Canis lupus familiaris: one gene and its partner. The main gene of each other region encodes a partner of the protein of the gene in region 2 in a complex. Links are inferred from orthologs where the notes say so. Each region holds a gene or a part of one and is shown on either strand. Other genes may lie near its edges.

Evidence for each region.
Region 1: TBL1XR1 (region 2) and GPS2 share a complex: the UniProt entries of both Homo sapiens proteins name them as parts of the N-Cor repressor complex. The link is inferred for Canis lupus familiaris from reciprocal best matches to the Homo sapiens genes TBL1XR1 and GPS2.

The regions. Positions count from the first base shown.
Region 1 is NC_049226.1:32,479,311-32,483,890, forward strand, and holds GPS2 (G protein pathway suppressor 2), read right to left. Parts: upstream 2,909-4,580; 5' UTR 2,790-2,908; intron 2,594-2,789; 5' UTR 2,525-2,593; coding exon 2,431-2,524; intron 2,122-2,430; coding exon 2,012-2,121; intron 1,933-2,011; coding exon 1,820-1,932; intron 1,690-1,819; coding exon 1,610-1,689; intron 1,518-1,609; coding exon 1,435-1,517; intron 1,243-1,434; coding exon 1,089-1,242; intron 983-1,088; coding exon 893-982; intron 812-892; coding exon 732-811; intron 645-731; coding exon 549-644; intron 366-548; coding exon 282-365; 3' UTR 190-281; downstream 1-189. Other genes in the region: NEURL4 (neuralized-like protein 4), read right to left, coding at 3,431-3,635, 4,036-4,201, 4,297-4,409, 4,557-4,580. UniProt on the Homo sapiens protein: Key regulator of inflammation, lipid metabolism and mitochondrion homeostasis that acts by inhibiting the activity of the ubiquitin-conjugating enzyme UBE2N/Ubc13, thereby inhibiting 'Lys-63'-linked ubiquitination.
Region 2 is NC_049255.1:40,849,156-40,852,960, forward strand, and holds part of TBL1XR1 (F-box-like/WD repeat-containing protein TBL1XR1), read right to left. Parts: intron 3,472-3,805; coding exon 3,249-3,471; intron 2,480-3,248; coding exon 2,347-2,479; intron 1,797-2,346; coding exon 1,655-1,796; intron 1-1,654. UniProt on the Homo sapiens protein: F-box-like protein involved in the recruitment of the ubiquitin/19S proteasome complex to nuclear receptor-regulated transcription units. Plays an essential role in transcription activation mediated by nuclear receptors.

The DNA of each region.
Region 1 (4,580 bases), on a different chromosome or scaffold from region 2:
TTGCTTCTTTGAATTAAATGGGTATTTGCTGACTAGAAAGTCAACTTAGAAATTACACATAAACAACTATGCCAAAGAGTTCCCTCTTACCCACCCACCCAGCTTCACCTGTTAGTTGCCTGTCACTCCTCACCCTCCACACAGCCCTGGCCCAGCCCGGGAGGGAGGTGATGCACACAGCAGCAGAGGGGCAGAGGCAGGTAAATTTTATTAGACTGGGACACCAAGTTCCCTCACCCACGTCAGGGGCTGTGGCTGAGGCTGAAGATAAAATCTGATGATCACTTGTGGTAGAATCGTGGATTCTGGCTGTGCTGGATGAAGGGGAGACGAGGGCCAGGCTGGCTGGTGGCTGCGAAGCCCGACTGGTGGCAGAAGTGGGGGGACTTCGTTGGTGTGTACCCTGCCCCTCAATCTACACCCGAACTCCCAGCCATCCCCACCCCAGGAGGAAATGGGAGAGGAGGGGTGGGCGCCGCCTCTCCTACACAATCTGGTTTTCCCCCTGGAAGGGTAGGGCCCCAGCCGGGTCCGACCCCTGGCCTTACCTTTCCTGCTGGCTGCATCTGCACCGGGAGCTGAGGAGAGGCGAGGAGCCCAGGGGCTGGATGCAGAGCCTGTGGGTGCATGGGGCGCAGGGAGGACTACGGAGAAGAGAGTCAGGGTCCGAGGCGGCCTGGGGCACCCCTGGGCCCAGCACTGCCCCTGCCCTGCCCAGGCTCTGTACTCACAGAGTCTGAGAAGCTGGTCTGCTGGTTAGCGTGCTCCATCTGCTTCTGTAAGGACAGGGCACCGCCAGGCTGGAGGAAGCCTACAAAGGGAAGGATGGGTGTGTGGAACGCGGAGGCGGGGAGGACGCTCAGCCCTGGGGCCCTGGCGGGGGCATCCTCACCTGTCTGGGTGGGCTGAAAGTGGCCGTGCACCGTGTAGGGCTGTGGCTGCGGCTGCGACAGGTACTGCACTGCTGGGAACGCCGAAGGTGCTGAGGGAGGCAGGAGGCACAGCCTGTCGAGCCTCCTTCGGGCCTGCCTGGGACCAGCGGCCTCTGGGTCTTGGAGGAAGCGCCCCCCTCCCAACCCACGGCTCACCTCTGAGCTGCTGACTGGGGCTATAGGCCGGCTGCGTGGGTCCGTAGTGAGGCGGGGGCTGCGCGGTCCCATAGGCACTGCCGGGGCTGCCTTGGAACTGGCCATGCTCCGGGGTCCCGGGGAAGGCAGCTGCAGAGCCCACATAGTGTCGCGTCTGAGGAAGGAAGAGGAGCGCTGGCTGCTGCTGGAAACTCCTCCAAAGCAGAACCCCAAGCGCCTTGTATGTGCCCAATTTTCCACCATTTGGTCAAGTGCTGGACAACATTGGTGACTTGAATACTTGTTTAATGCGGGTGCCCGTGTCTGCATGGAAATGGCGGGCTACACACCCAATGCTACTCCTTACTGTAAGCACTTGGGGTCCGAACATCTGTTTGGCCCTGTCAGCCGCCATGAGGGTGCCTGGGCGGTTGTGTCCTCCAGGGCTCCCTAGACAGGGAGACGGGCTTCATGAGGCTGCAGTGGGGTGGCTGCAACCCCCGGGAGGGTGCATTCTAACAAGCGGGTTCTTCATTCCTCACCCTGCATGCTGAGGAGGTGAGTCCCAGTGTGGACGGTCAGGCTCTGCTGGTACGCAGCTGAAGTCAAAGTGGTCAGGTCACTGCAGTGAAAGGCAGGCAGGTCAAAACCAAGAATGAAGACAAGTGCCCCCTCTTTTGCCATCAGACACCCATCTGGTGTTACCCATCCCAGTTACTGTCTCAATTTTATTTTTAGCTCTCCAATCCCACCTCTGCTCCTTTCGCCTCCGTTTCTCTTCTTCATGTAAAACTTTCTTGAGCTGCAGGAAGAGCTGGTGCTTCTCTTCCTGAAGGGCCAACAGCTTCTCCTGCAACTTCAGGATCTGAGAAGGCAGGGGAGAGGAGCTGACGGCAGGAGAGCCAAAGGAGGAAAAAGCTGGGACAGAGCAGGGGGCTGCTTACTTGTTCCTTGGTCTCCTCTAGTGACATTCTCTCCTCCATCTCCTTTTTCTTCCTCCTCTCTTGCTCTTCCTTCATCTTCTGTTCCATCATCTTGTCTACCTCTTCTTCCTCTGGAGAAAGAACCAGGTGCAATGGGAAGAACGCAGGGTGGTTAAAACACTAGGACGTTAGAGATGGAGAAGCGGGGAAACCTGCCGGTGCCAGTGCTCCCTCTGCTCCTCTCCTCCCAGGGGACTGGGAGGGAGGGTATGTCAGGTGCTCTCCAAGGTCCTTCCCGGCCCGAGTCTTCTGGAGCCCGGACCCGGCCTGCAGCTCCCTCCACCAGTGGCGGGCCGTCCCACCCTCCTCCCGCGCGGCCGCGGCGCGGCGCTGTGCCCATGGTGCGGGGCTTGGGGGTCCTCCCCCTCGGCCGGGCTCACCCTGCCGCTTGCGCTCCCGCTCCATCATGATGTGCCGGTGCAACGCCCGGGCCATGGCGTTGGAAAGCTTGGGGCGCTCCAGGAGCGCGGGCATGGTGCCACGGGGGACGCTCGGGCCGTGGGCGCCCGGCTCTGTCACGGACTGCCAGACCTTGGGCCGGGCCTGCCGAGAAGCGGGCGCTTAGGAGGGTCGCGCCCGCGGGCCGAGGCGGAAGCCCGCCTGCCGCCGCCGCCCCGGTCACGTGCCCGGCGCCCACCCTCCGCCGCCCGGCCGGTCCCGGGTGCTCCGGGTGCCCCTGTGCTCCGCGTGCGCCGGCGGGCTGGGGTCTCCGGCCTCGGCGCCGCCCGCCCCTCCCTACCCGCCTTCGCTGCGCTTTCTCCGCGGCTCCTGTGCGCCTCGGCCGCGCGTCACATCCGGCTGCCGGGCCGAGTCCTTCCGGAGCCGGGGCGGCCGGCGGCCTCGCGGGACGGGCGCAGGGAAGGGCGGAAGCGGCTGCGACGGGTGCCGCGGGGGGCCAAACTCCGTCGGCGCGCCGGGCGCCCCCAGCTGGGCAGCCCTGGGGCTCGTCGGGGGGCGGTGCGAGAGGGGGATGAATGAGAAAGAGGCCGAGGCGCGCGCTCTGGGACAGCGTTTATTGGCTCCTTGGAAACCCGCGTCCGTAACAACTGTACAGAGGCCCACCTTCCCCGCGCCCGCCCCCACTCCGCCCGGCGGCCCGGGGAGGCTCCTCGGGATTCACAGTAACAGGAACGAAAACGGAAATAAATTAAGTGATCCGGGGGAGGGAGTCCAGGGAGTCGTGTTCCCCGAGTCAGTGCATGAGGGGAGACTGCCGGCCCCGAGTGGGAGGCGTGGGCCCTGCACGCGGAGATGCGTTCCTGCTCCAGAGATGCGTCGGGCTCTGGGGGCTCCGGGGGCTCGGGGAGCACCCGCCGCGGCAGGGGATGCTAAGCCAGGGCCGGGGGGGCCCCACTGTGCTTGTCGTCCAGAGGCCAGCCCTCACTCCACCCGCACCAGCAGGGCATAGAGGAGTGTGGCCCCCTTCTCCTTGGTTATCCACTCGAGTTCTGCGGGGCTGAAGTGAGGGTCGGGAGGTTCTCGGAGGGTGGCCGAAGGGGGTCCGGGGGTGTAGGAGCCCGGGCGCACGCACACCTGGAACGCCACCTGGGCCTGGTGCGTTCGCTGGGACTTGGGATCCCGGAATCTGCAGGGCAAGAAGAAGGCCAGCCGTGAGGCCTCCAGGCTCCTCCCTCGGCTGCCTGCGGGGGGGGGGGGAGGGGGGGGGTCACTCCCACCTCCCAGAGAGAGGTGGCTTGGCTCTGGCCGCACCCCTGCTTGCTGGGGTCTCTCCAGGGCGCTCCCTGGCTTCCCTCTGCAGGCCTCTGCCCAAACCTAACCTTCGTCGCCATGTCTACCCTGACTACTGTGTGCCTGTACCTGTGCAAAGCACACCTGGGACCCACTGCGTCCCACTCTACTTTTATTTCCACAGTACTAGTCACCTTCAACAGTAAATGTGCTAGAGTGAGACAAGACCCAAGTGTCACAGCGGGGACACCAATGGGAAGCCATGGAGACCCCAGTCCCAGCCCCCATGTACTCACTGCACTTTGGACGCTAGGGTCTCGGCCCCAGCATACTGGAGGGAGGGGGACAGCAAGACGGAAGGGGGCTGCTCCTCCCGGGGTGGGGCGCAGTTCTCGCCAGGCTCCTCAAACCCCACCCCAGGCTTGCCTTTCAAGGGCCGGCAGCTCAGGATGGAGGCGGTGCCTGCGGGGAGAGCCAGTCAGGATGGAGGCGGTGCCTGCAGGGAGAGCCTCCTGGCCCAGGCCTGGCTTGCCCCTTCTCTGCCCCTGCCCCCGGACCTGCTCCCAGCTCTCCTCGGTCTAGCACCCTCCGGATGGCTGCCACGTTGCTCCCGTGATATGCCATGTGCCACTTCTTAGTCATCGTTCCAGCTTCCAGGCGGGGATTCACCCTAGGGTGTAGACCGGGCAGACTGGACAAAGATCCTCCCCTCGACCAGTAAAGGTTCTGTGGCTTCTTCCACGCACCCTCTTGGGAGCCTCCTTCGTCAAGGAAGAAAGAGCACGAAAGCAGACGCATGACCCTGCCCTGCGTGTACCTGAGATTGAACCTGCACCAGCCG
Region 2 (3,805 bases):
AGAATGAAGTCCTGCCTTACTCAGTGCCTTGTGGATGCTTTTTGGAAAGGGAATTGAAAACAAGATCGCCTTTTTTCAGACCTCTCAAGCCAGTCAGCTGTACAGGTAAGTGAAAAACAAACAGATGCTGGTACTAGGGGATGTAGGTTCAGTCCTTCCAGAATCTGGTTCCACAGTTTCATCTGAAGAAGGAGCCATGTTGAAACCAAGAGCAAAAGCCAACTTCTAGACTCTGCACGATGGGAAGCTTCCTTAAAACTCCTGGCCCCCGGATGTCTTAGTTCATGGACCACCACAGTAGGAAAAGAATACTTTAAAGATAGCGTATCTCACAGGCTCTTGCATTAGTCATGGAAAAGAACCATTCATCAAGGATAATGTTTTCCCGTTGGTGGAAGATTCAAATTCACAGTGAATAATATGTTTGAAAAGTCCACACTTCCACAAACTATAACTTGCAGTTCAGAATCACCAAGCTCAACAAACATTTGTTAACCATCCTTTTCACGGTAACCTGTAAATTTCATTAAGTTAAAATAAATGGTTTCTGAGCCAAACAGTATATGAGGGCAATAAGGCCTTTGACTTAAGATAGAATAAGGTCCTATGTTGAGAAGATAATTCTTAGTCCTGACCCTACAGGAATTTGTTTTAGAAAAATTTCATAAGAACTGAGAACTTCTGCTGGAGAAACCGTTTTTAAAAAAAGACCTCATTCATTGGAATGAGATTTGGATTTGGAAGATCCTTTGGAAAGTCGCACAAAAGTTGTTGGACAGGGGCTGGAGGAGGAAAGGGTGTTTGTTTGCTGAAGAAAGAACCACGAACCCCATGAAATGCTCAAGAATACTAAAATTGTCTAAGATGTTTCTTAGGCTTGGGAAGACAGGTAAAAAATGGATGCAAAGTCACAAGGAAGGAAAGAAGGCAACATGGAATAAAGGAAAATATACAGGAACTTTAAAAATGCTAATTTTCCACAAATCAATCATAGTTGGAAATGGAAACAAACAGAGCTGGTTATCATGTACTTGAAACCGACGGGTGAAGCTTTGTCAACGAGGAGCTCAAACTTTCTGGTGAGTCAGAGCACTAAAGGTATCTCTGAAAGATGTGGAATGACATAGAGGATCAGCTAACTGTAAGATTCCCACAGCTACAGCAGAGCCTAGACTAATGGTCCCTAAAAGGCAGTCGGCAATGAAGTCTTCAGCAGTTCTGAGCAAAATGAGAAAAACAAGAACATGCTTTTATTTTGCAAATTTCTCTTACCCCTAGCAAAGGACTTCGCAGTTAAGGACTTAGTGTGTGCCAGTTGTTGATTTTCATCTATCACCCCATTTATGTACTACCATTACCACACCTCTACCTAACATTTGAGGAGCATGAAGTGCAGAGGGGCAACCACCAGTGTGACAAAGGTTCTGCTGCAAGATCAACTGCAGAGCTGCAAGTCGAACCTAGGTCTGACTGCTGGAGGGCCAGCCTTTGATTTAATAGCATATTTGAGAACGGGGAGTCCTAGGTTGTCGTTCTTATTAGTGAAATTCAAAAATATCTGAACAAATGGACAAACGCTGCTATTAGTCTGAGGTTCAGAGATGTTAAGTAGATTAGGAACTGTAGTCATCACGGATAATACAGTGATACTCACATTCCAATCTAGGGATGTCACATCCTTGTTGCTTGGGACATCTTGCCCTCCTTCCCGTATACAATGTCTAAGTACTAATTGTGTGGAGCCACTAGTGCTATTTTCACTAAGATTCCATATTCTTGCTGTTGAGTCTCCAGACCTAGAAAGTATGCAATATATTTTAAATTGTCATGATATTCTCAAGTATCCCAGAATCAAAGCAACATATTTACATACTATTATTAATAAGGCAAATAAAAACTAGACTCTCTGGGGTTTCCATTTCCACTATATTCCTTAGTCTCCATTTTGGGGGCCCTCAGCACTTTTGAAGAAGCTTAATTAAAACTTCTAAGATTATGGGGGCACCTGGAGGGCACAGTTGGTTGAGCAACTGACTCTTCCTTCTGGCTCAGGTCATGATCTCACAGGTCCTGAGACCCAGCCCCAAGTCGGGCTCTGTACTCAGTGTGGGGGCTGCTTGAGATTCTCTCCCTCTCCCTCTCCCTCTCCCCCTCCTGCTTGTGTGTGCGCATTCTCTCTCAAATAAGTATACCTTTTCAAAAAATAACTTAAGATTAAGTTATGAAGAAATAAAGATTTACAGAGACAAAAGGACCACAAAGAAGCAACAAAAACATGTCAGTAATGCTTTTATAAAATGTGTACTCGTTCAGTAGGATATTTAAGTCTCACATTAAGAAACATACCCCGATGCCAAGAGATCACTAACGGGGTTCCAGGCACAGATGAAAACTTCGGATTCATGGCCCCGTAACACAACTGCTTTATTAGGAGGGATTTCAACATCCCCGTCCACTTCCATCATATCAGTATGATTATCTGTGTCATGAGAATCAAGTGGAAAATTCCGGTTAGGTATTATTATAACGCCCTGAGGGGGGAAAATAATTCTTAACCAGCATTTTATACCTCCCTTGTAACATATAATGTAAAAAAACAAAAAACAAAAACCAAAAACCAAAAAACTATGTCAGGTAATGGCAAAAATAATTATACAGCACTTGTCACACGAGAAATAAATTCCTATCTTTAGTTACGTCTGACCCTACTATTTTTAAAAAGATGTGTGTGTGTGTGTGTGTGTATGTGTGTGTGTGTGTGTGTGTGTTTGGGGTGATGAGGAGGCAGTGAGAAAGACTGCAAAAAGGTTAGAGCCAAACAAGGCTAAAATGATAAAATGATCTGAATTAAATATAGTCCATGCCAACACTATTCTGAATTTCTGCCAGTAGGGGTTGCTGATATCATTCATATAACATGAGAGTTGCCTTCCTATCTCCATGTCAGAGCTTTACTGGGTTAATGACTAGTATTACAAATTTTCTTTCAAAGTCAAGAGCAAACAACAAAATTTATCTTATAGTAGAAAATGGTTTCTAAATATTTAAAGAAGAAAATAAAATCCATGAAAGTAAATCTAGCTTTTTGGAGCTTCAGGAATAAAAATCTGAATTGTGATACAAGTTAAGGGAACAAGTTGGCATAAATGAAACAGACGATGTTACTTCAGTTTAGAAGATGACACATCTACACAAAGCAAAATACTTTTCCTGCAAAGGAATTTTTAGAAATTCTTATTTCAGCTCACTTGCTATAGTATGTGCTCCGTTCTCCTCCCCATTTGCTGTGTTTTCTCCATTTTTTGCAGACCCCTGTTGGTTTGTGGCGGCTGTGGAGGTGGCGGCAGCTGCGGCCTGCTGCTGTGCGAGCTTATCCCTGTAAGCTTGCTGTCTGGTCTGCACCACATCAGGCATTACGGCGTCTATCAGCGACAGAGACTCTATTGGCCGACCATCGAACAAGGTACCATCCTGGAGATGGAGAATTTTGAGGCAGAAAACACGAAAGAGACATACTTAGGGTGAAGCAACGGCAAGGAGCTGCTGAAATTCTCCTTCCCACCTAGTTCATACTGGTGAGGATAAAGCCGAAATATTGAAAGGAATAGTGAAAAGTGGGCCCAGGTGATAAGAAGTTTATTAATTAGATCCCAAAATTCCGTCGGGGAAAAGCAATGAACAACACTAAGGAGTTCATGCAACGGGAAGAGAGGCTTGGGGCCACATTAGGATAAACACTTCTTTACAACAAAAAACTTTTAAAATAGCTTTAAGAGGACTTGGTGCATCTGGGTGGCTCAGGGGC